Rhinolophus ferrumequinum: one gene and its partners. The protein of the gene in region 4 interacts with the protein of the main gene of each other region in a pairwise test. Links are inferred from orthologs where the notes say so. Each region holds a gene or a part of one and is shown on either strand. Other genes may lie near its edges.

Region 1 (7,319 bases), on a different chromosome or scaffold from region 4:
TCCTTAAAATAAATGTTCAAAAATTATAAAGCATTTTGAATGCCATACATTGGCACAATAGGCTGTCTGCAATTTTCTGAGTGTTAAAGTAAATTTTAGAGGCAGTGGACATTTAGAAATGAGTGGGTTGATTGAACAAGAAAATTGATTTTTAGCTGCGTTTACCATCCTGGGGGATGTAGGCATTCAGGTTAATGATTACACGTTAGGCTGGAAAATAGTTTACTGGCTTTCTCTGAGCCACCCAGGCTCCCTCGGGGTCACTATCTTGCGAGCTGTCACATGTCCCTCCATGCAGTGTGGCAGCTCCATCCGTGAGAATGTGGGAAGGGGCCAAGTTCAAGAGACAGCGCTGACCTCCCACCATCCATCGAGCCGGCCACGTGCCGTCAGGGCCTGATGCAGAAGAAGGAGGGAGCCTCAAAGGGTTGTGACCTGGGGGTGATGCTCTCTGGGGGATGTCTCAGCCCTTTCTGAAGTGTTAAATGTGATGTGACAGCATCAGCAGGGAGCTCGGGGCCCAGGAAAGGGAAACGGGAGGAAGTGGACTGTGGGGAGTGCCGCCGGGGCTGCTGTGGGCCTGGCCCCAGGGACCACCGAGACCCATGGTGGGCTATGGACTGGGGGAGCTGGACTGGGTCCCAGCTGTCCACCAGGGAAGGAGGCTGTGCTGGAACCTGGGGGGGCGGCAGCTGTGGTTCGGAAGAATGGAGCAGGACAGGCTGCATACCCAGTCTCCACGTGGAGACCGCCACACGAGACGGAACGTACGGTCAGGGGCAGGCGCCAGGGCCACTCAGCAGAACCGGGAGCGGGAATGGCCGCTGGGCCATCCCACGGGAAGGGGGAGGAAGACTCAGGGCTTGGCGCAGGCAAGCAGACCCTGCATCCGCAGCAGATGGGTCGTTGTGGGCTCAGCCGCCAGCCCCTCTAAGCCTCTGGCATGCTGGCTGCCTGGTCAGAAGCAGCTCCCGACGGGGTAGGACCCACTTTGCAGCGGGAGGTGTCTGTCTATGACGCTGACGGGCTGGGGGACACAAGAGCCAGCCAAGGAAGAGGACGCAGCCCTCTGACGTGAGCACAGTCCAGGGGCCTCCTGAGTGGGTGGGGGTTGAGTAAGCAATCAGTCCTAGGCCTGAGCCCTGCAGGGCCAGCAAGGGGGCGCTGCTGGTGGGGGCAGGAGAGACGAGAGGAGGACAGAGAGCTGGAACATGGATGCCAGAGGTTGCATCTCTCCCCAGGTGGTTTCACCAGTAAGAGGAGGACCTCCCATTCTTTGCTGCAGACCTTGAGTGACAAACAGCTGTTCTTTCAGTCCCCGGCGCAGGGAAAGAGGCGGCTTTGTGGGTGGGGAGTGCTCGGGCCTGCCAGGACTAGGGCTTCCCATGTGTACATATACTTTTCCTCCCTTTTTCCCCCTAAGAAACAAACTAGGAAATACGGAGTAAAAGAAATAAAAGGCACTCATAATCCACTAGCCAGAGATAACCTCTGTTCATATCTGGACATGCAGCTAGTAGGCTATATACAGGGGGAAAATCGTGTATAAACACGCAGCCTTTCTTATGTCTCTGTAATTGAACTTAAAACTCTTAGACCCCATTTCTGCAGATGACGGAAAATTGATTTTGTCATTTTAAAGTAGCCCCATCCTCCCTTCAGCTGGGCAGCCTTTCATCTCCGTATGGAAGAGAAAACCACTGTTCTTTTATCATCATATGTTCTTCCCAAATCTATGGGTTTATGGTATAAATTTTGTGCTTTGAATCCTCCAGGCTTTGCTCTCTGTAATCAAAACCAAGCTTTTGGCATTGAAGGAACAAAATATAAACAAACCCAAATGTATTAGTTTTCGATTGCTGCTGTAACAAATTGCCACAAAAGCAGTGGCTTAAAACAAGACGAATTTACGTTCTGACAATTCTCGAGGTCAGACGTCCAGCCTGGGTCTCGCCTGCTGTCATCGGGTGTCGGCAGGGTTCACATTCCGTTCTGGAGCTGCGGGGAGATTCCACTTCCTTGAGTTCTGCAGCTTCTGGAGACACCTGCAGCCTTGGCTCACGGCCCTTTTCTCCATCATCAAAGCGAGCAGCGTAGCTTCAAGTATCTCTGGGTCTGACCCCTCTTCTGGCTCCCTCTCGCATTCTCAGGGATCCTTGTGATTACATTGGGCCAGATAATCCAGAAAATTCCTTTAAAGTCAGCTGATTAGCACCCTTAATTCCTTCTGCCACTTTAACTGCCTCTTGCTGTGTAACATAACGTAGTCACAGGTTCCCACAACAGGATGTGGACGTATTTGGAGGGGCCGACCGCAGCAAATAATAATTTGTCAAAGGCTTGATTCATATGATCAAACGCCATGACTTTCAAAATTACAGCCTTTGCTGTTGATTTAACAGTCTACTTAGGAGTTCCAAAGGCAATGATTTGACTTAGAAAACCTTTTTTTTTTTTTTAAATTAAAATGTTTTTTTCTATCATCCTCTAAGTGGTATGAATGGAAAGCTCCCGCTCCTCCCTGAATTGGGGTGGATAACACAGTGATGTTGGAAAGCCCAAATGGATATTGGGAAGCGCATGGAGGGAAAACAAACATACCCTCAGTGTTATTCTTCAAATTTAATCTGTGTCGTGTATGTGGATCGTCTCCCACATCCTGAGTTTGTGAGCTGATTGATTCCTGGAGTACTATAGGCAGACCTTCCTGTGACACTCAGTCTTACGTACTTTATCACGTCACCGAGTTTCTGCAGACCGTCCCCGCTTACCCAGCCTGTGTCCCACCTGTGCGGTGCGGCAGGTGGTACCACTAGAAGGCAGCGGCGTGTAATCTCAGGGCCTGAGTACTTGTTCAGAGCAGGCTGAGCTGGCAGCAGGGAAGGGAGGGCCAGCTCTGCTTCCAGGACCTCATTGTGGGGTGACGGTGACTCATGGGGGCTGTTCTGACTCCAGGTACCCACAGCTGGACTTCTCTGGCAGCTGGCACCGCAGCACCGCCTGGAGGAGTGATTGTTCAAGGTGCGTAGGGGCGGACTGGGGGGCTCAGGGTCGCAGTGACCGGCCTGGCCTGGCTTTGAGCAAAATGCTGGCGACTGAAGCCTGCGACCCGACCCCCTCGAGGCCCTTAGAGGTGGGAATGACGTGGGTGGAGAAACCCGAGGCAACCACAGGTGGGGGGATTGGGGAGGGACATCCCAGGAAGGCCTGGGACACTTGGCAGGTGACAGGTGTTGTATGTTTAGGTGGTGGTGCATAAACAGGTGACTTAAACCGGACCCGGCTCTGTCTCACTAGTTTTCCTGGTGACACTCTGTCGAACGGCAAGCTTTCCGTTCCGTCCCCTCTCACACTGTTGTGTCCCCAGCCCTCACATTCTGCCCCAGTTTTCAGCTCTGACTCTGCCCATGTATTGTATATCCTTTTGGTCTTTTCGGTGGGAAATCTGAGGATTTATTTAACCCGGCAATCAAATTGGTCATTTAAAATAATAGTATGCCTTGTCCAAGTTTAAAAATAAGTTATCCTGGTATGGAAAGGCAAGCCGGGAAAATTGGGTAGATCAGGCTGCAAACGTTCCGGAGCCCAGGTCCCCAAGGGCTCGGGCGCAGGGTTGGTCGTCCCTCCTCGTCCTGACGTGGGCGGCAGTCCGGGCACCTTCTGTTTGCCTTGATTAAAGTCAGCCTTCACCTTCCCGGAGCCACTGCCCTTCTGGGGACACAGGCTGCATTCACCGTGAGTGGCCCAGCCCCAGCCCTTTGCAGATTTCATGAAAGGCGTTTTCACTTGGATTAAACAGGCACTGTGTTTGTGTGTGGTGTGTGTGAAGGAGAAAATGAATCATTTCAATGTTGGGCAAGGATTTTAGGTGTTGTGTTTGTCCCTCGCAATTACATAAACACACCAGAACTCGTTAAAAAAAAAAAAAAAGAAAACGTTGGGTGGGGGGAGCGGTGCGCGGTTGGGATGATCTAAGCAGTGGAGTGAGTGACGTCTCCATACATTAGACAGGCTTGTCTTCTGCCCTCTCAACTCACTCCGAGTCCAAAGGAAAGTTTGAGGTTTTACATTTCTGTTTGCGGTGCAGGAAAAAGCTTATGATCTGAGGGCTTGATTCAGTGAAATAACATCGCTTTTATACACATTGCTCTGCAAGGAGGGCAGGAGTTGGAAGAGGCTGCCCTGAGCCGTTAAAGACTTGCTGGCAGAGGGGAAGTGATTTTTCCCTCCCTCCCTGCCGGGGAGGGGGGGAACAGCTCTAACGGGGAGTTACTTTGTAGTTTTAACTCCTATTCAAATACTCCCAGCCCGAGAAGCTGCGGAGGATCAAGCAGGACTTCTGAATCTGCTCAGAGGGGCCTCCCGGCCCCAGGGCCCTCAGGATGAGTTTGCAGAAGAGGATCTTCCCTCGGAGGCAGAGTGGTGAGTGGCCTTCTTCTCAGGGGACCCGTGGGAGGTGGGGTGCAGGGTGTGAAGCCGCACGGGGTGGGGGGAGCACAGTTTTGTTTACGCGCCGGCATGGAGTGTGCACGTGTGCGCCTGTCTGTTGTCCTTGCAGAGGCTGGCTGAGCACTCATTAGGCTGTTGGGCGGGGGTGAGGTGGGGGTGGCGGTGCGTCGCCGGACCCCCAAGGGGATGAGAGAGAGCCCTGGCAGGCAGAAGCTTTCTCTGCCCTTCACCCCGTCTGAGTGTTGCTGGCAAAGCAGGGCAGGCGCAAGGTGTACACGCTGAGCCCACAGGATCCCCATAGCTGGGCTCCTGGGGGCTGGGGAGCAGGACCGGCTGAGCCTCCCAGGTCTGTGCCCTGGGCGGGGCGGGGTGGGGTGGGGGACAGGGGGCTGTGTACCCTCAGGTGCAGCCCAGCGAATGAGACGGTTTTTAGAACCTCTTGCTCCGTTTACTCCAGAAGTATACACAGGCATCAGGGAGGATTTTAACCCCTTTGCCCAGCGTTTAAAGTCAACACTGGCAAACCGTCAGCTGTTGTAACTTTGGCATAAGAGAGTAAACACATGGTTTTCTTTAAAGAAGAGAACAAGGCAAGTGAAGGGTGCATTCTGACTTCTTCAGCTCTGGGAAGATGGGGGAGGAATGGCCAGAACCCAGGGACCCATTGGGGCAGGTTCCATTCAGGCATGTCTGAACCCCAAGGGAAGGCAATGGAGCATGGGGACCAAAACCGGGCCCCCTGGGGTGGATTCCTGCGCTGAGAGGAGCAGGCTAGTCGGTTTTAGGAAAGGTGTCCGTTTCCTTCTCTGCCCCCACGTCCCAGGCCTGTAGAAGTCATGTCTGAGAGGAATGATGTGTGCAGACAGGCCAGCACCCCTAAACGGGACACAGTAACCCTCACAGAGCACGGGGCTCGGGGCCCAGGTAGCCCTGGCCTCCCTCTTGTGGAAAGTGGGCCAAGCATTGAGAACGTCCCCCTTCGGACACAGACCACACAGTGCGTTTACTTCCACTGAGGAGTCCTTGTGGGCTGGACATGACCTGGGTTTTATAGGTGCCCCCTGTTTCCTGAAACCATTTTATTCATGGGAGGTCTGGCCACTTCCTGTCCATGGCTGCATTGGTCGGTTTCCCTAGTAACAGACTCTGAGCCAGAGATGTGTGTGTAAGCAGGTCATTGCTGAGTGTCCCTGGGGACGACCCCTGTGAGGGGCAAGGGAGGCGGAGTGGACAGGGGAGCGTCGGGTCCAGTGCCCCCATGAGGCTCTGTGCCATGTCCTAGCCAGTTGCTGCGCCGGGGCAGAGCATAGCCGGGGCAAGGCTTCAGCTGAGGGCGGATCCTGGAGACGCTTCGCTGTGAGTTGTCACAGGACCCGTGGCCACTGTGGATGCGCGCCTGGTGCCAGGGGCTACTCTGGGGGCACCCCTCAGCGTCCCTCAGTAACGCTAAGTCCTTTTCTGAGTTCAGCTGAGGGAAGAGTGGGGATTAAATGCGTGGATAGCTGTCCTGTTAAATCCATACATAGCAGGTGACCTTGGGTTCACCCCTTTCCATATCTGGGATTCACTGTCTTGTCTAGAAAGTGGATGGAAGCTTGTGGGAGCAGAGAGGGCCTCTAAGAACCCTCCCCGCTCAGCCGTTTCAGAAGCGCAGATTTTTGAGCCTGTGACGGTCTGGGCTGGGGGTTTGGTTCCCCAGTGAGACTCAGGTCACAGGGTCTCCACAGGTGCCCCCATTCCGACTGTTGGGAAATGCACACGATCCCTGGGGACCCTGTGAGTCCCATGGCCAGCGGTCAGCAGGGAGAGGTTGTGGGGGGAACCTCATCACAGGGCAGTGGGGACAGGGGTTCCAGGAGAATCCCACTGTGTGCTTCTGCCCTCCCCCCAACGCTCCTTCCAAGGAGAAAGGAAAACCACATGGGACGCCGCCAGACATCTTTGAGAGTTGAAAGCCATACAGTATTGCCCGGGACAAACACAGATGTAGCCGGATTTATTTGATTGCCCTCCCCGCCCCACCACGCGCTTACTATTTATTTTCAATAGACAAAGAGTGAAGTCACTTTCTCAAACAGTTGGAACTCATTCTCAGCTATTTGTTTAGGGCATTCTCTGCCGCAGTGCTGGGCTCTGGGCTGTCAGGGGACGGACACGTCAGACAAATGCTCACTCACACAGAAATACTAATAACGATAAAGGGGGTTGGGTGCCCTCACCGGGGACGGACCTCGTGGATGGACCAGGGAGGGCTTCCCTGAGGAGGTGCTATCCCCGCTGTTTCCTGAAGGGTGTATGGGAGTGAGTGGGAGCCAGGGCTGGGAAACGGGGAGCTGCATGTTGTCCTAGAGCAGGGATGAAAAAGGAACCGTTTCAAATCCTACCAGCTGAACCAAGACGCTCTGAGCTTTGCAAGAATACTTCCAACCCATCTGTTTTCCTTGCAGCATCTTTTTAAAAATAATCATGGTGACTTGGTAGCTCAGGGAGTAAGCTTTTCATGGTGGGGGAAAACGTCCGGAGCCCTTGACTCTGTTCCCCACACCTGGAGGCCAGCCCCCCGGTGTGCGTCCTGGAAATCCAGCTGTCACGCCAGCCCCTCCTTCCTCCTGAGGGCCTTTCAACACCAGGCTCTAATTTAGGACCTTTGTGGGCACGGCCTCATTCCATCTTCCCTGCAACCCAGGCAGGTGGCGCTCCCCCCAGGGTCACTGCGAGCTGTGCTCCTAGCATGCTGTCCTGCCGACCTGCATCCGGCTTCACGTGCTGATGTCCCACTCGGGGGTGGCTTACGGGTCACTTCTCAGTTCCCACACGTTATCAAAACCACAGTAGACACTTGTGTCCTCACTGATTTTTGACATTTCTCC
Region 2 (7,972 bases), on a different chromosome or scaffold from region 4:
AAGTAGTAAGACTTTTAGGCATGGTCTCTATCACGTATTCTTCTTTGTGTTTGGATTTGTTTTGTTTACAACACTATAAAACTGTAAAAAGCATTTTTGCTCTCTTGGCTGTACAAACCCCTGCTCTGAAGCCTTGAAACTAGACTCAGAGGCTGTCCCAGAGCACCAGGCACCAGCTTATCTCCTTCTGCACAGGGCTCCTGGGAGCCCAGTAATGGAGCTCTTGGAAATGCCACCTCAGTCAGAAGTGTACCCCAGAACACACTGAATCCCTGAAAAGTAAAAAAGGAGCTTTGATGAGAGGAGAGTTCCTGTTCTCATCATACCAATCCCAGGGCAAACAGAAATCCACACTCTGGGGGGAGCTACAACCCACCAAGGAGCTACCATGCTCATGTGGTGACCTTCACCTCTGCTTCCAGAAGAAAATCCACTGAATCAGTTCACCTCAGAGAGCTGGACCTGCATCCTCCACCACCAAATCGGAGATGTCTGACCTTTTTATGAGGGAAGTGAGGAAAGAGTTCAGATCACTGCATTTCCCCATTGTTAGTCTAAACCCTTACGCTTAAAAAATAACTAAATAAATACCTCTGAAATGGTTCCAAGATAGTATGCCAGATTCCTTTTGGCCAACCTTTGATTCCTTAATATTGCCCAAAGTTTTTTTTTTTTTTTTTATTAAAGTAGTATATATAAAGATTGGTTTGGTCATCCTCTCTATTATTCTCCATGTTTGCTTCTGGCTTTAGTGAAACTGACTGAACTTTGCTTGACTGATGTTCATTTATTCATTCAACACACATTTGCTGACATTCCCAATCCATCTGTCAAGCCACTTGCAGATAGGGAAGACTGACATGTGGATGGTGCTGCACAGTGATGGGAGGGGTATATGCAGGGTAAGTGTCAACATGAAGTAAGGACAGCTCAGTCAGCTCCAGGAGCGGGTACCAAGAGGTCTGCCGGAAGTCAGTGTGGCTGCAGCTGAGTAGGGAAGAATGCATAGGAGTTGACCAGACAAGGAAGGGTGGGACGATGGCAGGTGCTGAGACTCAATGGCTTGAGCTGAGGCTACACATGGGGAGGCTTGGGAGATGAGTGAGCCTGGGGAGGAAACAAGGGTGGGGTCGTGAAATTCCTTGGAGTCCAAACTCTATCCTGAAAGCCACAGAAAACCTCTTAAGGAAATTAAGCAGAATGACTGGCTTAGATTTTTATTTTCTAGTTGCAGTTTGGAGAACACATTGGAGCACGAGTGTCCTGATTCGGAGCAAGGAGCCCAGCGTGAAGACAGTTGGAGCAATTCAGACAAGAAGTTATGAGATCATGAACTAAATCAATGACAACAACAAAAATAATAAGAGCTCCAATTTGTGCAGCACTTATTAATGACAAGGCACTGTGTGAAGTCCTTTCTTTATATTAACTCATTTTATCTTTACAATAAACCTGAGGGAGGTTTGGTACTATTATCAACTTTATGCCACAGATCAGGAAACACAGAGAGGTTAGGTTAAGTAATGAGCCCAAGGTCTGGGAGCTCTTCATGTCCCAGCCAGAACTCAAATCCAGAAGTCCGGCTGCAAAGTTCACCTCTCCCAGCCCATCGCCCTAGCACACTCCTAGAGAGGACTGGATGCTTTCCAGTGGTCTGGCTTGGGTACCTGAACATTTGGGTTTCAGCTTCTTGAGCCTTCTCCTCTGAAGGAAGCCCCTCCCCAAGTCTGTCTTTAGCCCCCAGTGGTCTCCCTATACACCCACAGTCCCACCATCACACCACCACCTCTTTCTCCTTTGCAGTCCGTCCTTGCATCCTGCATTTGACCCTAAACCACATCTTCCCATTGGAGTGAAAAACCTCACAAGCATTGCCAATTAGGTCTGAGGAATCAGGACAGAGAACCCAGCTCTTGGTAAAACAGTTGTTTAAGTCTTATTTTCAAATCAGACCGAACTGGGAAAACTTTGAGCAAGCTTGTGTGGTTTCCTTCTCAGCGAGCGAGACCTTGGCAAACCTACTTCAGTGTTTCACACTAGTTTTTTCTATGAACAGAACGTATACCATCATTTGAGGCCAGCGTTTAACACACTTGGCAGGCCTGGTCTACAGCCACAGACAGACATGCCGGAAGAAAGTGGCCCTGGCTGGGAGAGCTTCGGAATCAAATGGCTTTCTTTCTCCGGGCATGAAAGTTAAAGCAAGCATCTGCAGCAAGAAACTTGTGTATTTCCTGCGGACAGGGAGACCTCCTGCCCCTCCCGGGCTGATACAACCCACTTTGCACATCCTGCTTCTCTGGAGCTAAAAATAAATCGGTATGCATTGAAAAACACTCAAACACATCTCCCTAGCACTCCCCTTCCCGAGTCCCCGAGAGCAAGAGACGCAAATCTTTCGGGTCCTGAGTCCAAAATACAGACGACTTCCTCCTCTGCATTCAACTAGCGCCTTTCCGTCGCTCCCAAAGCCCCCTTCCCGGGCCCCCACCTCTCGCACACGCCTCCTCTAGCCCCTCAGAACCGACTCCTCAGGCCCGGGAACCAGCAAGTGTACTCGACCCCAACCCCCGCCCCGGAGGGATGCTCTGGAGATCCCCGGGCCACCAGGCGCGCGAACGCCCCCTTCCGACACAGCGCGCCCCCATCCTGCCCGCCCCGCTCGCCTCTGAGCGTCCCTCTGCAAAGTTGCTCTCTCCTTTTCTGCCACCCATCCTCAAGGTCTTTGGTTTTGTTTTGTTTTACCTCTGAGGCATTGGGGAAAGGACTGGGGAATTGACAGGGGAAAATGAACCCGGGAAGGACTGTGGGGACAGGTCCCGAGGACCGCGCGCTCCAAGTGCCCACCCGTGTATCAGCCGCGCCCCAAGCGCACCAGTCCCCCCAGCAGCCGCTCCCGATGCCACCGCCCCCAGCACACTCGCCCCGGCTGCGACTCCGACTCTGCTCTGGCTCCGAAGAAGCCGAGAGCAGGCGCTGCGACTCACCGCCTTGGCTGCTCCCGGCGTCTGTGTCTCTGCTGGCAAAGCGGCGGCGGCGGCGGCGGCGGCAGCGCCTTCCCCCCGCCCGCCTCCCCCTGGACAGCTCCGCCGCCTGCCGCGCCCCCCTCCCCAGCCTCGCTCCTCTGCCTCCCTCCTCGCGGCCACCCACCCCCACTCCCCCTGCGGCCTGGCAGGCAGCCTCTCCCCGGGTGCAGGGGGTGTCAGCTGAGGCTCGGGGTTTACAGGTGCAGTAGACGCCTCCACCTTGAGCGGGTGCAGCCGCCGGACTTATGTGCGTTGTGCCCCCCAGCCCTAGCCAACCTCCCAGGCTTCTGGCTGGGCTGCACTGGCACTTTCCAAGGGATGACATCTGTTTGCCTGTTCGGGTTGGGAGGGAGGTCAGATTCAACCCACAGCACCTTCTTCTAGGCTTCGATTGAGGGCGGTGAGGAATGGAGGTGCTGGAATCCCTGCTTGTTGTACTGAATTCAAGGGGGAGGGGCGGGTTGGAAGGACATGTTCACAAGGTGTTAGGGTGCTGCTCTTGCCTAACCAATGCTTTCTGTCATCTAGGGATGGCTTAACAGAAACTCAGGAGGAGGGCATCTGAAGGGGACCTCTTATCCCCACCCCCACCCCATCGTCCACTCCAGAATGTCACCAAATCTTTCATCGACTGGAGATGATGCTAAGCAAATATCTTGTCAATTCATTCAACCTATATTTATCAAGTGGCTGCCAGCACACGCTCCTGTCTTGCTGTGTTGGGCACTCATGATCTGTCAAAAAGTCACAGTGACTTCTTGTGTTTGTCAACCCCAGTGACATTTCCAGAACTCCCACGGCAGGTCTCAATAGCAACATAGATTCATTGATTTAAAATTTTACTGGTTAAAAATAACAAAAAGGCGCGATGTAAAGCTATAAGGGCACCATGACCTGTCCATGTTTGTTGTAATAATTACGAAATCTTCTAATATGACTAGTAATAGAAATGACAGTTACATTTAGGTCGAACAGCTGCCAATTCTGATTTGAAAATCAAGTAAAAGGTCCACCAGACTGAAACCATCCTCTTAGTTCTGCCTTCAATTTCCACATCATTTACTCCTTCAGGCAATGCTTGAAAAATAAAGTTACCATATTTTGCTGTGTATAATGTGCACCCACGTTTTTGGCCCAAACTTTCAGGGGAAAAAATGTTTCATTTTAATTTTTTTTAATGCATTGTTTTCAACTTTTATTTATTTTAAGTGTGTTTTTCCAGGACCCATTAGCTCCAAGTCAAGTAGTTGTTTCAATCTAGGTGTGGAGGGCGCAGCTCACAGTGGCCAATGTGGGGATGGAACTGGCAGCCTTGTTAAGAGCACTGTACTCCAACTGAGCTAACCAGCCGCCCCTCGTTTTAATTTTTTAATTCAAATTTTTATTTGTTTATATTTAGGTACTTGTTTTTTGCTTTATAAAGGAATTTTAGGATTTATTTTTTTAACATATTATGGTACAAGAAATTTTATGTAACAAATGATTACAAAACACAAGAACAGATAGAAGGTACAAGAAATTTTATGTACCAGTAACAAATTTACGATATTTATGCATCAAAGAGGGCCAAGAACTCTTCATATTTGCAAGTTTTTTGTAAGTTCAACAAAATTGATTATCGTATTCCAGGATATTATTTTGCATACGAATATCGTTATTGATATCTAGAGTTACACTTTTAACTCATAAGTATGAATAAAAGAATTAAAAACATTTATATAGACACAGAATTAGTACGACCTATGTATAATGCACATCCTTATTTTTTTCTCACAAATTTGGGCAAAAAGGTATGTATTATACACAGCAAAAGACGGTATCTGAGAAGCCGGTAAACCATTATTGGACACTAAAACTTTTTCTTGAATTGGATTAGCAGATTAACCCAAAGGCTTGCCTTGCCTCCCTGGATCAATACACATTGGAATCACTTAGAGCGATGGGGTTTTGTTTTCTACTACTAGACCTGGGCCGTTCTCCTGGAGATTCTGATTTAACTGGTCAGGGGTGCAGCCTGGCGTGGAGATTTTTTTCCTTGGTTTCTGGGAGATTCTGGTGTACAGCCAGGATTGGAAACCCAGGATTAGCCAATCATCAAAAAAGGCCTAAGGCAATGAGATATAGAACAAGGAAGTTTTGAGGCAGGTAACGGACTGACCAGGTAGGTGTTGCCAACTCAAAAGTCCCTAAAGGATTAAGAAGCAGTGATAAAGAAGTAACTTAGGCGGTGTTTACAGGGGCAAACTGGGAAGGGCATCATGCTGTCAAGAGGGCAACCTCGTTTTCCTACATGGGAAAATTCAGGTCCAATGTGGCCATCAAATTGAGTTTTTTTGTCTGTTTGTTGTTTGTTGTTTTTGTTTTTCCAGAGAAGCCAGAAATCTACATTTAATATGAACTCTTCTCATTTTAAATTACTGATAACTAATTTTTTAAATCTTTTAAACACTCTGCAGGCCAAGAAAGAAGAGTTTGTAGGCCACAAGGGGTCCCCAGGTTATCAGTTGGTCAGCTGTGGTCTGGACAGTGTAGGGCTGGTCATTGCCTACAGACTGCGGGAAGAACCCTGGTGTGTCAGGGGCAGTTGTGGGAAGGTGGCAGTGCTTGGGGGTGGCTGTGTCTCTGAGAAACAGTGATTTACAAAACCACTTTCTTCATTTTTAAATTTTGCTTTAATGATCTCTGCTTTTTTTTAAAAAAAAAGGGGGGGCTTTATTGAGATATAATTTGCAGGCATACAATTTTTCCATTTAAAGCATACAATTTAATGTTTTTAGTATATTCACAAAGTTGTACAACTATCACCACAATCACCACAACCAATTTTAGAACTGATTGTGATTACCCCCAAAAGAAATGCCATACCCACCATGTTTCCCCGAAAATAAGACCTAGCCGGACGATCAGCTCTAATGCGTCTTTTGGAGCAAAAATTAATATAAGACCCAGTCTTATATTTTATTATATCCAAAAATTTACTATTTTACTGTAGTAAAATAAGACCGGGTCTTATATTAATTTTTGCTCCAAAAGACGCATTAGAGCTGATCGTCCGGCTAGGTCTTATTTTCAGGGAACCGCAGTATTAGCACTCATTCCCTTCTTTCTCCTAACCCCCAGGCCCTGGCAACCACCCACCTACTTTCTATCTCTGTAAATTTGCCTATTCTGGGCATTTCATATAAATGAAGTGTTCATACATTATGAAGTCAGTGACTGGTTTCTTTCACTTAGCATAATGTTTTCAAGGTTCATTTATGTCATCATTACTTCATTCCTTTTTTATGAACAAATAATATCCCATGATCCCATATATCATATTTTGTTTATTCATTTATCAGTTGATGGACATTTAGGTTGCTCCCACTTCTTGGCTATTATGAATAATGCTGCTATGAACATTCATGTATAGGTTTTTATGTGGATGTATGTTTTTATTTCTCTTGAGTGTATATCTAGGGATAGAATTGCTGGGTTACATGGTAACTCTATGTTTAACATTTTGAGAAATGACCACACTGTTTTCCAAAGCAGCTGCACCATTTCACATTCTTACCACCAGTGTGTAAATGTTCCAATCTCTCCACATCCTCTCAAACACTTGTTACTTGCCATTTTTGTAAGTTATACCATCCTAGTGGGTATGAAGTGGCATTTCATTGTGGTTTTGATTTGCATTTTCCTAATGGTTGATATGTTGATCATCTTTTAATGTGTTTATCTTTTTTAGAGAAATGTCTTTTCAGATCCTTGGTCCATTTTTTAACTGCGTTGTCATTTTATTATTCGGGTGTAAGAGTTCTTTATATATTCTGACTATTAGTCCCTTATTGGATATATAATTTGCAAATATTTCCCCCCATTCTATGGGTTGTCTTTTTATTTTCTTGGTGGTATCATTTAAAGAATAAAAGGTGTTCATTTTGATGAAGCACAAGTTATCTATGTATTCATTTGCTGTTTGTGCTTTTGGTGTTTTGCTTGATTCAAGGTCACAAAGATTTATGCCAGAATATTGAGCCTTACTTTTTTCCCCCCCTTCTTCCACTTCCCCCCTCACTCTGGTTCAAGCCGTTGTTTCTGTCTAGTTGTGTAGGTCACAGCTCCCTGGCCCATGCTGGTATTATGAGACTTGCGCTCCCCCGGCTGAGGCAGTCGGTCGCCAGTCATCGCTCGGCCGCTCACGGCCGCTCACACTGGCCGCCGGCCACTCACACTGGCTGCTGGCTGCTCCTGGCAGCACACGGCAGCCTGCGGCAGCCCAGGGCAGCTCACACCGAGTTCCAGCTGCTCATGGCAGCCCAGCTCCAGGGAGAGCTGTTGTTCACAATCTTAGCTATAGAGGGCGCAGCTCATTGGCCCATGTGGGAATCAAACCGGCGACCTCGGTGTTAGGAGCACTGCGCTTCAACTGCCTGAGCCACCTGGTCATGGACGTTACTTTTAAAAATGTTCCTGACTGTGATATTGGAAACTGGGAACACTGAGACAACTGGTCTTGGGCTCAAGGTCAGAGTCTCCTGCTTCCAGAGGTCTGATTTGCTGGGACAGCTCTCTCACCACGGCACTTGGTCAACTTTGGACATTGAATTACAAGTTTCTGTCAAGAAGCAACTGAGTGTATATGTTTTAGACTAGCTAGGCCAACAATAGCATGTATTTATTCATCTACTCCACAGATATTTCCTGAGGGCCTCCTATGTGCTTGAAATTATTCTAGGTTCTTGGGTTCACTAAACAAGACAGATGAGATCCATGCTTTGGTAAGACTTATATAATGCGGAGGGGAGGAGAGAGAGAGAGAGGAAGAGAGAAAGGAGATATATATCAGATGAGTGTTATATAAAAAATATAACAGTGCAGGCTGGGACAACTAGGGAAGGAGCTAGACAGAGGAAACATCGTGGAAAGGCTCTAATGGGGAGCAGGGGAATACATACTTACTC
Region 3 (7,690 bases), on a different chromosome or scaffold from region 4:
AAGGGGAAGGGAAGGGAAGGAAGGAGGGAAGGGAAGGAAGGGAAGGGAAGGGAAGGGAAGGGAAGGGAAGGGAAGGGAAGGGAAGGGAGGGGAAGGGAAGGGAAGGGAAAGGAAAGGAAAGGAAAAGAAAGGAAAGGAAAGGAAAGAAAAAAGAAAAAAGAAAGGAAAGGAGAGGAAAGGAGAAAAGAAATGCTGGGGTAGGGATGTGAAGTGGCTCACAGAACCAAAGGAGAAGCAGAAGTAGATCTTGGAAAGGACACGTACCAGAGTGGTCCCTGGGGATTCAGATAGCAGAAATGAATGAACAGTGTCATCAGAGCACTGCCCTAGAATAAACCAGTGATAACTATCCTTGAGTCACTTTATTCAAGATGCAGATTAACTTGGAAAGGAAAGAGAGAGAATGAGAAAAAGAGAGAGTTTACTTAGCCTTACTTAAGTCTCATGCCCAGCCCTTGTCCATGGGAAGGCAGGACAACTGGATTGATAGTCCCAGCTACACTGTACACAATTGGGCTGGGTAATCCCCTGAAGCAAAATCTGTTCTAAGCACTTTGCATATTTATTAACTCATTTTAACCCTCGGAGTAGCCCTTTGAAATAGGTACTGTTATTATTCCATATTTTACAGGTGAGGAAATTGAGACACAGGGAGGTAAAGCAACTTGCCTGTGGTCACACAGCTGGAAAATGATGAGCTGGGATGCAAACCCAGGTAGCCTAGCTCCAGAGTGTGTGCATTTAACCCTCTACAATATAGGGCTTCTCTGGCAGGAGGGCAATGAAGGCAGGGCAGGCAAAAACACAAGGTCCCCTACAGGTAATGCTCAGGAAAGGGATTATGGGGTACTTCCACTTTCTCTGTATCAATTTTAAGCCACCATGTATTAACCAGACCGAAAAAAAAAAAAAAAAGATTATTTCTACTTTGGAAAATTAAAGAAAAGAAAATCCTGCTTAGCCAATAGGAGAAAGGGAAGAAGCCCAAAGCTGGTGATCTCACTCTCTCCCAGCCACAAAGAAGACTGTGAAATATCTAGGACCCAGGGGAATTCCAGCTGTCACCAGGCTGCACTCGCCAAGGCTGAGGAAACCCAGGGAGTCAGGAAGGCATTATCCATCATAAAGGCCCTGCTCAGGACCCAGAGGGGAAGAAAGCTAGCTAGCACTCTGCTGAAGCAAATCGAAGTGGCCACTGCCTACAGACCTCTGCCCTCACTGAACCCTCAATTCCCTCTGTGCCTCTTTTTAGGGCTTCCCGCACAAGCACACTTTCCTTCTTCCATGCAGCCTGCTCTGCCCTCATTCTACAGGGCCCACTCTTTCAACAGTGTGGAACAGGTGATGCCAAGCCTCCAAGCCTGAGAACAACAAGGCCACAACAAAGCTCCAGAACTTAAACCTCATCCCTCTGGCTCAGCCTTTAGCTGCAGAACAATGGAAACCCCAGCTCTGTTCTGGACACTGCCCCTTCCCATGAACACAGGTCAGTCAGTGGCTAAGAGTGTGGGCTTTGGAGTCAGACCTAGGTTGGCGTCCCAACTGTGTCACTAACAGGCTGTGTTACAATAGGCAAGTTGTCTAACCTCTCTGAGCTTCCATCCACTGCCATGAAATAAAGTAATAATACCAGGGCTGAAATTCAGTCCCTATGAACTGGTACAGCTGAACTGGCTGTTAAAATACTAAAATACTTCTAAATTGACTGGTAAATCGGTAGCAGTAGCCCATGGACCCCCACCTCTCTAGTTTTTTTCCTGCCTGCTCCTCTTGATCCAATAACTAAACTGTTAACTCTTGGCAAAACAGAGACCTGCTACCGTGTATCCCCGAAAATAAGACCAGGTCTTATATTAATTTTTGCTTCAAAAGATGCATTAGGGCTTATGTTCAGCGGATGTCATCCTGAAAAATCATGGTAGGGCTTATTTTCCGGTTAGGTCTTATTTTCGGGGAAACACAGTAAGTCTTTGCTCTAGCACTAAGGCCAGCATCCGTTCTGATTGGTAATGCTCGTGCTGAACAGGGTTGTTAGATATTTTTAATGTCACCCCTGGCAGTGGTGATAAGTGGGATTAAGTGAGATAATGCAGATAAAGGACTTGGCAGAGAGTCTGGTATATAGTGAAGCGACTCAATCAATGTCAAACCTGAAGAGCAGAGGCAGGGTCAAGATCAGGGTCTCAAGTATTATGAGCAGGTGAAGATGGGTCACAACTGGCAGTTCAGTTATACTCACAGGCCCTGAGATGATTCGTGGGTGAGGCTGCGTGGGTGGTCCTGCCTGGTTCAAAGAGCAGGTCCTGCTTCACAAACTACCCCTTACTTTCCTTCTCCTGCTTACCTGGGATTCCTGGATCCCATGCTAGATTCCAGAGCCTAGCGTGGGGAAGTCAAGAGAAGCCACGCACCGGCTGGCACCCTGCAGGGCAGGAGGGCTCATCCCTGTGTTCATGACTGCCAGCTCTACTGCTGCTGTTGGAATCCCATGTCTTGTTCACCTGAAACAGAGAAGCTGTCCCCAGGAGGCAGGGCTTTGCCTTTGTAATGTCTTCGGGAATCAGAAAGAATATTCCAATTCAAGGTCTTTCCCCTAAAGGACTTAAAGTATCTTAAAGGGGGCAGTATTGTGTGGTAGCTAGAAGTGTAGGCTCTGGAGCCAGACTGCTTGGGTTTAGATCCCAGCTCTGCATCTTTACTAGCTATGTGAACTTGGACTAGTTGTTTAACTGCTCTGAGCCTCAGTTTCCTCATCTGTTAAATGGGAGTAATAATAGTATCTGCCTCATAGCGTGCTTATTAGGAATAAATTAAGTAATATGTATAAAGTGTTAGGATAATGCCTGGCACAAAGTAAGTTCTCTCTATATGTTAGTTATTATTAAGGAGCTCACAAGTGTAGCGGCACAGTCAGATTCATGCCCACATCATTCTGTCCAGGGTGACAGCCTTTCTTCACCCTGCTAGTTGAAATTCTTCCCCTGCTCTCCTGGGCCTCCTCTACTAGCTCCCACGTTTTACAGACTGGGAGGCCCAGAGACGGTCTTATGTGGTGTCATTGGCAAAGATGGGACCCATTTTAGAGTTTCAGATACCACTTCCAGCAACCCCTGCTGCCTCTCCTCAATTCCTCCTGCCTTGGGTTATAGTTCTCTGTGAACAGGAATGAGTCCTTGCCCATATCTGGGTCTCCAGGGCACAGAGCAAAGAAGGTGCTCAGGAAGTGACAGAGTCAGGACTTTCAAACACCTGTCCTTCGTGAGTCATCAACCACAGGGGCCAGGGATATGCCTGATGACTGGAGGTCCAGGTAGTGCTCTTATGCTGCCAGGGCCCCAGAGAGAAGACATACCCTGCAGCCAGGAAAATGGGACAGGGAGGGAGGGAAGGAAGGAGGGGGGGGAGAGAGAGAGAAAGAGAGAGATCCACTGATTCTGATTCCTCCCCAAGGAGGTTTGGTGGGAGTTTCTAGGACCAGCCAGAGAAGCCTTGCCTCCACTCTTGGCAGGTGGGTCCTCATTGCCCACCCACCCCCCCCGTTGCCCCGCCCACCTCAACTTTTGCTCCCACAGCAGAAGCCCCTTTCCCCCCCTGCTCTTCAGCATCCCCGCTTCCGTTGGACCAATCCCCAGACACCCCGCCACACTTTTGACAGATGCCTAGAAGTCCCTCCACTGCACATGGCCCACCCTGAGGCTGTCTGCTCCCCTTTCGCCCCCAGTTTGGAATAAAAGGGTTCCTTCCCACAGCCTTGGGTCGGGAACTCTCAGCTGCCAGTGCAGTCGGGGAGGCCAAGCCGAGCTTTGGGGAGACCCAAATGGGACGAGGAGGAGGTGTTCCCGGGGCCCTGAAACCTTCCAGACCCTCTCAGTATAAACCGCCTCGGGTTTGTGTCAACATCCGAAGCCGGAGACTGGCGGCGGCTAGGGACCGGCTCCGTCTACAGAACGGGAAGACGGGAGGGTGGGGAATGGAGGGGTCCATGGAGTAGGCAGAGGGATCCTTCTGGGGAGATCTCGAGGTGCCTTATGGGGGCGGTCCATGAGAAATAAGGAAGGCTGGGGAGGGCTTGGAATTAGGGGCTGTAAAGAGCCCACGACTAGTGAGGAACCAGACAGAGAGTGGGTACTTCGCCATCCGTACTGCGCTCTCGGCGCCCATCCACCCTCTTTTCCCATCCACCGCGTGAGGGGAGTGGGTGTGTTGGGGATGTGTGATGCGAAGGTGTGAGCTGCGGACCACCCCATCTCTTTCCTTCCCCACTCAGCTCCTCGGCAGCTCCTTGTCGCCTTCTTCCAATTTTGGGTGGGATATGGAGGGGGTCACATCTTGTGACTCATCCCCTCTTCCATCCCCACCCCCGCTGGGGCCCAGGAAGGGAAAGCTCAGAGACTCGGCTGTGGCTCTCTCGTTTCCATAGTAACCGTGCGGTTGTTTTTGCGAATCCACTTCAGTCGTTTACACTTTTCACCCCAGACTGTGGCCTGGGGTCTGAGCCTCAGGGGGTACAGCCCTCCCCCTTCCTCGCGACTCCGGGAATGTCAGCGAAGGCAGGCGGGGCGCGCTCCCGCAGCCGGGTCTCACTGGCCACCCGGTCCCCACCTGAGACCCCGCCTGCCACTCCGCCCGAGCGGAGCCAATCAACGCCCAATCTGCCCGGGGTGGGGCGGGGCTTATGCAAATCGTGTCGCCTCCGGGAGACATAGTGATACAAGAACTGGGAGGCGGCTCCGGCGCGGACCTGGGAGAACCTGGCCGCCAGCCCGCGAGCCAATCTCTGTCCCTGCGGCCCGCCGAGGCTCGGAGCCATCCAGCAAACCGGCGAGCGGCCTCAGGTAATGCGGGAGGGGCCGGGAGGAGGCCCTTGTCCCTTTCCCCTCCACTCTTCATTCCTATGCTCGTCTCCTGCCCCTCTGATTCATCTCCCAGACCCCTGGTTCTGCCATAGGTGGCAGCGTCTGACGGGCCCACTCCTGGCCAGGGAACCCCTCACCCAAGTCCAGGCCCCATGGGTGCAGGAAAGGAGACAGAGATGCCTCCTTACCCCTAGCTCAGGTAAGAACAACCACTGTTCTGGCCCCCAACACACACACACACACACACACACACACACACACACACGCCTGGAAGTGTGATGCTCATGCTAGAGGAGGCATTAGTCCCCCTTCTCCTTTGCAGATAGGTAGTCCACCCAGTCCCATGGCAACCTCCCACCTCCAGAGATGGCCCCCCGCCCTCATCATCCAGCACCAGCAGCAGCTCGACACACTTCACATTACAAGGTCCCTGCTCCCAAAGACCGCCTCCACCTCCACAGAAAGCCCCCTCCCACTGCACAGTGTCCTCTCCTCCCACCCCTCAAGCTGACAGAGCTCACAGCATACTTGGGGGAGGGAAGAAGCTCCCCTCCCAAACACCCCCCTCCCCCCTTCTCCTCATGACACTTTCTCAACAGCGCCCCCTCCCCATGGTCTTAGTGCTAGGCAGAGGCCCCATGTTTGGCCTCTTTCATCCTGGCTGGAGGATGAAACAAGGACGCCATCCCCCAGGAGACCACCCATACCTGTCAGTCACTGCTGCCAAGGGCCCAGCCTCTTCCGTTCCCCTCACCCCCCACAGTCGAAGCACCAAGTCCTCTCATTCTACCTCTCAAATGTCTTTCTAAGTTGTACCCTCTCTGGCCTTCTTGCACCCAATTGCTCCCTCTCTCCTATCTTCCTGCTGCTCTGCAGGGACTGTGCCAAAGCTCCATATGAACTGTCACTCCTTTCCCCAAAGGGGAAAACCTGGAGAGCCGAAGAGCTGGGTTCAAATCTTGCTTTTGCCTCAGTGCTGTCTGACTTTGGTCAAGTCATTTCCCTCTCTGATTCTTCATGAAATGGGGAAGGGGTCAGAACAGAGGGGAGACTAGATGAGGTGATCTTGAACAGACTTCCAAAGCTGACACACTCTGGTTCTATGGATGATTTTGAGAAAACAGGACTCTTTCTCTCTTTCCCTGAACCAGGAAGATATTTCAGAGAAGAGGCCTGAGGGGCTTTAGTCCTCAGCAAAGGGACATTGCTCCTTAACGAGGCCTACATCCAGACCATCTCCTCCCACACACTCTCCAGGCCTGGGCCCCTTGACAGCTATTAGGAATCCCTCCTAGACCAGCAGCCCACATGCCATGGGTAGCTCCAAGCTGAAGGTGGCCAACAGGGCCCACCCTTTGTTTATCATACCCTGCCTCTCATTAAGAAGGAGAGGGAGAAGAGGTGGCTGCTGCCGCTGTGGCTGCTGCTTGGAGAAGAGCAAAGGGAGGAGAGGAAAGAGAAAAATTTCCTGACCAGGGAGCTATTGTCACCATGGCAACCGTCTCAGCACCAGCTTCTCTGAAGCTGGGTGAGGTGTGGGATTATTGCATCCCTCAGTCCCTCCCACCCTCACTGTCACCTCCCCATTTGAAGCCCACAACCCTGAGCCCTGCCCTCTGGAAGAAGCCTCTGGGTAAAGAGGGGCAGCGGCTTTATGTATGGGGCAGTGCCAGCTCCTTCACAGCCGGAGGGCAGCCCTCAAGAGGTAAGCAGAGGAGCCTGCACATGGTCAGCTGGGCTACAGCACCAACTGAACATACCCTCAGGGCATTCTGGCCTTCGCCTTGCTGCTGATGGACTCTACTTGACCTTGGGTGAACCCTTCTTTCCCCAGGTCTGGCTTCTATTTCTCCTTAAGTGGATGAAATGGCAGGAGAATACAGATAAAACAACAGCCTGAGGCCATTCCACAGAGGAAGAAGGGGGTTCTGTCCCTCTCATGTAATCCACCAAGGAACATTCAGTGAGCATTGCTGGGTTCCAGGCATAGCCTTTAGGTCTCTGCAGGGTGGTTCTGTGCAGCCACAGAGGGCAGAGTGGGAACCCAAGAGGGGCAGCTACAAGAGGGCAAAGTTAGGAACAATGGGAAAAATACCTTTCTCCTGTCTGAGCTGCCCCAAAGAGGACTGGGTCATATTGGGAGGGGATAAGCTCTTTGCCACTGGGCAAAAAGACCTGGAGAACTTTTCTGGAGGGTCAGGCAAAAGTTTAATGCAAAGGCCTCTTCCAAATCAGTCTCCATCCTAGAATTCTAGAGCACCAGGTGAGGGTCAGAGGGCGTTGAAGTCTACATACTTGTGGGGCTCAGCTCCATGGTCTCACAGGGTCTACTCATGCCCAAAATACTGTGCCATGCTGCTGACTGTCCACTGTCCAGGCTGAGAGAGGCTGATCATAAGAAGTGGGCTTCAGTTAGACCTGCAGGCTGATTGTAGCTGTGTCAGCCCGGGAGAGAAGAGAGGATGTTAGGGGAAGAAAACGGCTAAGCACTAGGTGAGGTAGGTTCTGGCTGTGAGAAACTTGGCTTCAAAGGAGTACACAGTTGTGAAGGAAGCAGTGGGAGGTAAGGCTAGACAGTCAAGCACCTTGACACGAGATTCTGGAGTTTAAGGGGGCATGTGGGCCATCTCTAACCTATATTGTACTTCTGGGCAAAGCAGGAAAGACATTCCCTCGAAACAGAGGACTCAGAAGAAAGGCACTCCGTCTGAGGCCGTTGAGCCCACGGGCATAGCTTGGCAAGCAGTTCCCCAGCTGTATTTCAGCCTCCTTAGCTGTGCCCCTGGCCCCGACTATGGAGAGAGAGAAGACACTGACTGTTCCAGGAGCTCTTT
Region 4 (7,929 bases):
ATGACTTGAAATGGAAAGAATATCCCACTAAGGATCCCATCTTTGACAGGTTATATATATGAACACACACGAACACACATACACACACGAGCTTTTGAAGGAGAAAATGTGAGTTTGAGTGCTAGCCACATTCTTATTAATGTGTGACTTCTGGCAAGTCAACCTCTCTGATCTTCAGTTCCTAATTCTCTCTGTAAATTGGAGTTGATAATAATACCTAGCAAGCAAGGGTGTTAGGAAGGTAAGTTCCTGAGGGGCATCGTACGTTTTATATTCCTATACGAAGGTTAATTATTATTACTCACTCAGAGGGAAGTCAAATTCCATTTTTAAAAAAATCCAAGGAACCACTGAGACACTTTGTTGTATACTGAATTTGTGTTGCATTCACATGGCCTTGGAAATCTTATGTGACAGATATTTCAGTACTTCATATTTGTTGTAACGGGATATAACCTTCAAAGAAAGAGCATGCCAAAACCACTTGGGAGAATGATGGTAAGGGAGGAGTGCTTTATTTAGTAGTGTGGGGCCTAGTAAGCATCCTCCCTGCTAAGATTATACTGAAAATAAAGGAAATCGCAGACTGCTCATTTCCCTTGTACTTGTTGTAATCTTGTGGAAACTTCCTGTAAAAGGCAGTTATAGCATTAAAAGTAAACTGATTTCACACTCACCGGATACTACCAGACCAACAATTGAAGTCCTTTGGGAGAAAAATAAAATAGCTTATTTCTTTATACTTTGTATTGGTTTGGAAGAACATGGAAACCCTAGTGATGGAGAAACAGACTCATGCCAGAGGCAAGGAAACTATTTAGAAACATGGTTACCATTTAGTAATTCCACTGAGAGGCAAAGCTCATTAGCCAAGAGACTGGTTACACTAAAAAAAAAAAAAAAAAAAAAAAAAAAAAAAAAAAAAAGTCATTCATTAAACAAAGTACAGCATGAAAATAGTATCCCCTTTGATCTAGGCACATATTAACTACAGTTTTAAAATACAAAATTTTAATAACATCTACTATGGGGTAATGTTAAAAGTAGTTTCAGAAGTGAAATATGAACATGTATTTTATATACAGTTGGCATGGCTCTCTTCTCTTTTGGCTTTGCAAGTATACATATATCTGCTGAGAGCTTATTAGTGCAAGGCACAGTGTGAAATGCTGAATTGCAGCAGTACTCAGGTCACAATGGGAGGCCAGAGGGGACTCCTGATTTACATCGTGTCAGTCAATACAGTTTCATTTTTATACATACACAAATGTATAAAAATGGGCACCATGTTTCACTTGAAAAGCTTCCATTAGTTAAAACCAGTGCTGAAGAGAACACCCAAAAATATAAAATGTTGCTTTTGCCTTCAAGACACTTAAAATGAAACTGGAAAAACAAACACATATTAATGAAAGTTAATTAGGAAAAAAAGGGGGGTGGGGAGAGAGAATTACTAACACAGGCATCAAACAGTAAAGGGAAAAATAAAAGTATTTGAGAAGACAAATTCTGAGTTCATAAGAAAGATGATCACTATGGACCGAGTGGTCTGGAAAGAGGGAGAAAGCCTTGAATTGGGGCGCTGCATGCCAGCTTCCAGTGCCTCCATGAGCTCAGGCCACCTTGCTGGTTTTGTTAACTCTGCCTGGAACTCAGAACCAACTTGCACCTTCTTAACTTTGATGATGTCCTGTAGTGGCAATTACCTGGCAACTGTACTGTTGGCTCATGGATGCTTTAGATAATAAATCATCTATAACAGGTTGTTAAGTGTTAAGTGACCATAGCTAATTCCTAAGCTAAGGACAATTGTACTGAGAGCTACCTGTGAGTACCAGCCGTTGTGACCAACCTCTGCCACAGACCCTCTTGAGATAATACAAGCGAGCAAACACAAGGGTTCCTTGTACTCCTAACCCTGATGGGGCCACAGAATCCTTCTGGACTAGTGCTCAACCAACTGCATGGAGTTGGAACTTAAGGTGAAACTGTGATCTGTATTTATCTTCTCACACAGCTTTTCAAATCTTGTTGAGTCCATCTTCCTTAGCTGCACCAGGTCTCTGGCCTTAGCCAGTGTCTACCTTGGCCTATCATCTACCTTGGGCCACCCTCTTTTGTGTTGGGCTTCAATTAGGGATGTGTTCAGAGATGTGATGACACAAGTAGGAAAGGGGGGGGGTAGACTGCGAAGGGCTAAGGGAACCCGGCATACTTCTGAAAAAGCAGATTTGTTAGCCTCATTACAGATCTGCAGATCAATCTCTGGAGCGGGACCTAGGAATCTGCATTAAAGCAGTCCTTGCAGTGGATACCAGTTCCTCAAATAACGTCATTTTGCCAAACATCATTTTGTGATAACATTTATGACATGCCCCAGGAACTTCACTCTTCTTCCTATCACTTAGCCTATGGTAAACTGATTTTGTTAGACGTTGTTTCGCAAAAAAGTCACAGAACCTGTCGACATTAAGCGAGGACTACTTTCAAAAAAGAACTGTTTGGTGACTGTGTCTTGATCGCAGGACTGGGAACAATCTAAAAGCATTCATTCAGGCTGTTGATCATGTCTTGCCCTTTTAGGTAAGCAGTATAAATGCAAGTGGCCAGCATAGTGCTCTGCACATGACAGCCGAGACAGTTTTCCTGTCTTCTCTCAAAGCCTGGTATTGATCATTTCCCTGATGCACTTGAACCTCAAACAGATACAAATCTTCAAAAGAAAATGATGGCTTACTAAGGGCCAGGTTATGTGTCTAGCAACAGTGGTATACACAGAAAAAAAAACCAAGCCAATTATTGATTGAATGAATGAACAAGGCTACTGAATGCTTTACATTAAACCTTCAGAGCAACTGGCACGGCTTTGTCGTGGAGATTATTATTATCTCTGTTTTACAAAATCATAGTGAGAGCTAGGACTCACTGAGCTCTTAATCTGTTTTAAGTGCTTAATGTATATCGTTACCTCATTAATCAGTACAGTAGCTATATGAGTTAGGTTCTATTATTCCCATTTTACAGAGGCACAGAGTTTAAGTAACTTGTCTAGAACACAAATTATAACTGATGGGACTTGATTCAAATCTGAGCAGCTGAAGCGGTTAGCAGTCGTACTGGAAGGAGTGCAGGCCAGCACCAACACTGCCAGTTATAGGTTCGTCACAGAAACAAGATAAAAAATAAAACAAAACAAAAAACAACTCAGATTCAGAGGTAACAGAGGTCCGATCTGATTATCCCGGATCCCCTCTTCCTGTCACCAACATTGTCCCATCCTCGCTTTGAATAAGGAGAATGCTTTTGCGGAGGCAGGAATCAAGAAACCTCCGAAATCAACGGGATGCTTTTTTGGGCAGACTGACTGGTTGAGCTCCTTTATTCATTCGTCACACATTTATTAAGCACCTACTATGCGCAGAACACTGTTAACCGGCTCCTGTGTACCAGCTCATGAGAGCACTCTGGAAACTTCCTGAAGACAGATGGAAAAAGAGGAATGCTGGCATGTTTGGGAAGTTCTCCCTCTTTCTTCTTCCTCCGAAATTGTTCTATCCCTCAAGGTGGCAGGAGCAGCAACCTTCATTGCTAGGGTGCACAAACCTCAGAATGAAGAGCAAAGCATTACGCACAAAGCTAGACTGATTGCCTAGGAAGATGGGTCAGAAACTTGGGAGCATTGGGGATTCAGTCCCCCAGGCCAGATCTTGTATAGGCTGGCTTTCTAGGTAGCGAAGAGAGAATAGAATTTGCAGAGCTCACAGTCCTCTGGTCCGGTTGACCCTATACTCCAACCTAAAAACCCCAGCAGGTTTCTGTGCAAAAACCTTTTGAGATGAATGCATACATTGTCCTCTAACAATGCAAACGTGACAGCTGCCTATTCAATACTCGTTCCGCCTCCGTTCAGAGCAGTTCGTGCCACAGAGGCATCTTCTGCGCTATAGTTATGCAACCTCACTCGCAGCAGGAGTTATTTCCTGTGCTTCAGGCTGCGCCAGATTCATGTAACACGCCTACCCTGGGCTTCAATGGAAGTCGTTCTCCATTAACAACCACTCTAGCTTTCGGAGATGAATGCCCTGCACAGCATACCCCTTGCGCAGTAAAAATCCAAGGTATTACAACTAACTCTTTCTCTCTGTAACACACACACACATACTCACTCATTCCCGATGTGCATGCAGTTAGGGGGCTGCAGCAATGCAACCAGAGGGACAGCAGGCGGAGCTCTCTTTGTACAGTCCCTCCTTTAACCCGCACCAACTAAAGATGAACTCATGCCAGTTCCATTCTTTGCGCTGCAAACACACACACACACACACACACACACACACACACGGCAGACAAGAGTAGCTTCCAATTTCCTCCTTGAGCACACTGTCATTCTAGCCGGCTCGTTCAAACAACCGGATATTCCAAAGCGAGTAACGGGGAGTACCGCGCCGCAACAATGCAACCTCCCAAGCAGCTCCCAGTGCAGCTCACACCCCCGCCCCTTTCGCGGCGTGCCAAGAGTTTGGAGCGCGCGCACGCACACCGAGCACGGGGCCTGGCGTATCCCTCCGCCTCCCTCCTCCCTCTCCCCGCTCAGTGGCTCGACAACGATTTGGGAAATGAAGGGAGGAGGGAACTACTTTCCTGAAACTTGCTATGCTGCACACGACTTCGAGTTGCAGTGATTCGCCCGGAGCCCGCAGCTTCTGGTCCTCCTTTGCACACACTCTCCCAGCCCGGGTACCCCGCTCGGCAACCCCACCCCACGCTCTCTTTGGCCCCCGGGGAAGCCGGCGGCCGGGAGAAGTCGCCAGGGACTACTTCGCCTCCTTCTCCCGCGGGCGCCCCCGGTTCGGGCAGCGGCGGCGGCGGCGGAAGGAGCGGGCGGCGTGAGCGCTTCCGCCGCCCCCCTCGCGGCTCCCCTCTGGCGGGCGTGAGGAGGTGAGGAGCTGGCCCGCCGAGCTTGTGGTGGGCACCGGCTGACGGGGAACCTGCAGCCGCTCTCCTCGCCCCGAAGCCGCTTCTCGGGACCCTGCTCCCCGGACGCTCCCGCTCTTCGCCTGCCCGGGTGGGGGCGATCGGGTCGCCTGCCTCACACACTCCCCGCCGCCCCCTCCTCCCCCTTGTGGAGTCGTCCCGGCTGGAGTGTCTGGAGGAATCCGCCGCCGCGAGGCCCCTCGCCCGATCCTGCTCGTTCCTGAGGACCGCCCCATTCGCTGCCGGGGGCTGAGCGGGCAGCCGGCGGCGAGGCGGGAGATGGTGGGGTGGGCTCTGGCAGGACCGTGCCGCCGCCGCCGCCGCCGCCCGGAGCCTGGGCTCGGCAACCCCCCGGCAGCCCCCACCCAGGGGATCTCTGCTTCCTCCTCACCGCATCCCTGAGGGAAGCGCCGCCTCTGCTCCCGGGTTCTCCGCCCGCCCTCCCGCTCCTTCCTGGCCGGACCCCGCCTCGCTCCACCCCAGTGGCCAGAGGAGCAGCTCTCCAGTCAGCCTTCGCAGTCCCCCTTCTTTTTCCCTTGCCACCCACCCTTCCCGGCCTCCTCGGATCCCTTGGCTGGGCGCTGAGGCGAGGGAAGAGGCTGGGGTCGCCACGGCAGAGGTTGTTGCCGCCACCCCCCTGCGGGGGTGGCTGGGGTTCCCGGCTGGGGGGGCACCGTTCCGGGTGAGGCATCCACCATGGTGAGGCCCCTGAGCCGCTGCCCCCGCGCCTCCCCGGCTGCCTCTGCCTCCTGCCCCTCGGTGCTGCTGCTGCTCCTCCGCCTGCTGTTGCTCCTCCATCTCCAGATCGGATCACGGTGAGGGAAAGATGAGCGAGGAGACGGCGACTTCTGACAACGAGTAAGCGCCTCATTGATCCTGATTACACCCCCCCACCACCACCACCCACCCAGCCTCCCTCCGCTGTTCCCCAGACCCCTCTGAGACTTGGGTGTTGGCAAGCTTGCAGCCCTACAGAGTTCGGTGCATCTTGTTCTGCAGATAGCATTTGATTTCTTGAGCCATTTTATTTAATGGCAGTACCCTACCCCCCGCTCCGCACCCCACCCCCTCTTTTCGTGGCTTTCTTCTGGGGAAGGGTATTGAGTGTTGCGGTGGGATGGCAGGTTTACGTCCAGGAGATGGAGTCGTGTGGATGGATGGAGGCCGGGTAGAAATTAGCCCTCTGCCTGAAAGACCTTTGGCCTGTCCTTTTTCCCTGTAGCACACCGATCAACACACCCTGAATATCCATCCTGCTGTCTTTATAGCTGTTTCACTTGGAAACTGATGTGTGGGAGCACCTCCTGCAGCAAACTCTCTTGAATCTTAATTCGATGAGTCAGTGACTCTTTAATACCGATTAAGCCTCCATCCCCCTCCCCTCCTGTTTTAAACTTATGACCTGTAAGATTCTTGTAAAAAATAGGGCTGGAGAAACATTTTTAGAATTTAATAGGATTAAGGACACATGGAGTATGGGAGACGTTGAACTATTATATTTTACCTTTGCCGACATTGGACATGTCTTTATCACGAGCATAGAAGGATTTTTGAATGCTAATTTTTATTCAGCGATATTAAAATACACCATTTACATTGATTTAACATATTTACCTTGTTGAACATGTTGATGACTTCATCGATTAACTTCTAGACCATCCCGGTTAAAGTTTCTATTTGGCCTGTCTTTTATGTTTTCCAAACGGAATACTTTGCCACCTAAATATTTTGCTGTAACGTAACGGCTGCCTAGAGGAATAATGAATGGTACGACGACAACTTTCTGTTGAGACGGGGATTTAATTGCATGCAGAATATTAGCAACCGTTGTCTTGTAATTAAGTTCAAGTTTTGTGTATCTTTAAAGGGTTGGAAAGAGTAAAGTGAGCGAGGGCTAGTCCCTTAAATAAAGTGCATTCCTCGAGTCAGACCTTTTTGAGAGACCTTTAAAGTCCAAAGCTTGGACCTGTTTTAACATAAAATAGCTTGAGAAATGCCAAGCAGCGTTTCTCTTTCCTCCCCTCCCCCCCAAAACACTCTTGTGATGAGCGGGTGTGGGAGAAGGTAGATTGCTGCAGTGTCAGTGCAGTCTAGAATCAGAAGTGGCCGCCATGTTCTCTCTTTTTGTGAATCGCCCTCATTTGCATAGCACACTCTTCATTCATAAAAAAATAATTAAACATCCATCACCTTGGACATCTCGAAAGAATTTCCTAAGAAAAATACTCGAAACTTGATTGTCTTCATGTAGATTTTTGAGTTCGGCAAAGTAAGGAGAATTCGAAGTTACAGGTTAAATTAAAAAACATACGCACTGACACAAACAACTACCCCCTGTTCTCAGAATGTTGACACAGTTATGTGGGAAATATCAGTTCGGGGGAGGTGCTGAGATCACGTGATCGCCTCCATTCATAAAATACCTGGCTGTCCATTCACAGTGCAGTACTCTGTCTCACTGCCTTCCGCAGATTAGACCTACTTTGAGAGAGATCAAGAAGTACTGTATCTCAGATAACGCTTAGTTAGGAGAAAAACTGCTGAAAATTCTGAACGGAAATGACGATAATTTTTACTGGTATCTTTAAGAAAGTAGCTTGGATCAAAATGTCAACTTCTATTTTAGAGGTGGGAAGAACCTAATTACCATATTTAAAGTAATATATTGAATACCTCCTTGTTGGATGCAGCTAACAGAAAAACAAATGAGGGAATGTGAATTAACACGTGTAAATACATTGTTTATAAATGGGCTCTTTTTTGTAAGACTTGCCATGGACCAAATTGAGAGTGCAAGTTTTTTGGTGTAGTGATGGTCAGTGAATGCTGTTACATGAAAAATGAGTAAATATTCCCAGTGGTTTAATCCCCACAATGTTGATGTTTGAAATACCAAATGGCAATTTTTACTGGGAGGATTGCCTTATTTTTTTTTTTTTATTATTTACATGTACT

Evidence for each region.
Region 1: the proteins of SPRED1 (region 4) and IL16 interact in binary tests that used the Homo sapiens proteins (3 or more experiments, as listed by UniProt). The link is inferred for Rhinolophus ferrumequinum from reciprocal best matches to the Homo sapiens genes SPRED1 and IL16.
Region 2: the proteins of SPRED1 (region 4) and NCALD interact in binary tests that used the Homo sapiens proteins (3 or more experiments, as listed by UniProt). The link is inferred for Rhinolophus ferrumequinum from reciprocal best matches to the Homo sapiens genes SPRED1 and NCALD.
Region 3: the proteins of SPRED1 (region 4) and HPCAL4 interact in binary tests that used the Homo sapiens proteins (3 or more experiments, as listed by UniProt). The link is inferred for Rhinolophus ferrumequinum from reciprocal best matches to the Homo sapiens genes SPRED1 and HPCAL4.

Annotation. Positions count from the first base shown.
Region 1 is NC_046311.1:1,397,197-1,404,515, reverse strand, and holds the start of IL16 (pro-interleukin-16), read left to right. Parts: upstream 1-4,307; 5' UTR 4,308-4,382; coding exon 4,383-4,422; intron 4,423-7,319. UniProt on the Homo sapiens protein: Interleukin-16 stimulates a migratory response in CD4+ lymphocytes, monocytes, and eosinophils. Primes CD4+ T-cells for IL-2 and IL-15 responsiveness. Also induces T-lymphocyte expression of interleukin 2 receptor. Ligand for CD4.
Region 2 is NC_046297.1:43,660,023-43,667,994, forward strand, and holds the start of NCALD (neurocalcin-delta), read right to left. Parts: upstream 3,006-7,972; 5' UTR 2,988-3,005; intron 1-2,987. UniProt on the Homo sapiens protein: May be involved in the calcium-dependent regulation of rhodopsin phosphorylation. Binds three calcium ions.
Region 3 is NC_046292.1:27,818,867-27,826,556, reverse strand, and holds the start of HPCAL4 (hippocalcin-like protein 4), read left to right. Parts: upstream 1-4,680; 5' UTR 4,681-4,835; intron 4,836-7,690. UniProt on the Homo sapiens protein: May be involved in the calcium-dependent regulation of rhodopsin phosphorylation.
Region 4 is NC_046289.1:66,397,896-66,405,824, reverse strand, and holds the start of SPRED1 (sprouty-related, EVH1 domain-containing protein 1), read left to right. Parts: upstream 1-4,919; 5' UTR 4,920-5,800; coding exon 5,801-5,832; intron 5,833-7,929. UniProt on the Homo sapiens protein: Tyrosine kinase substrate that inhibits growth-factor-mediated activation of MAP kinase. Negatively regulates hematopoiesis of bone marrow.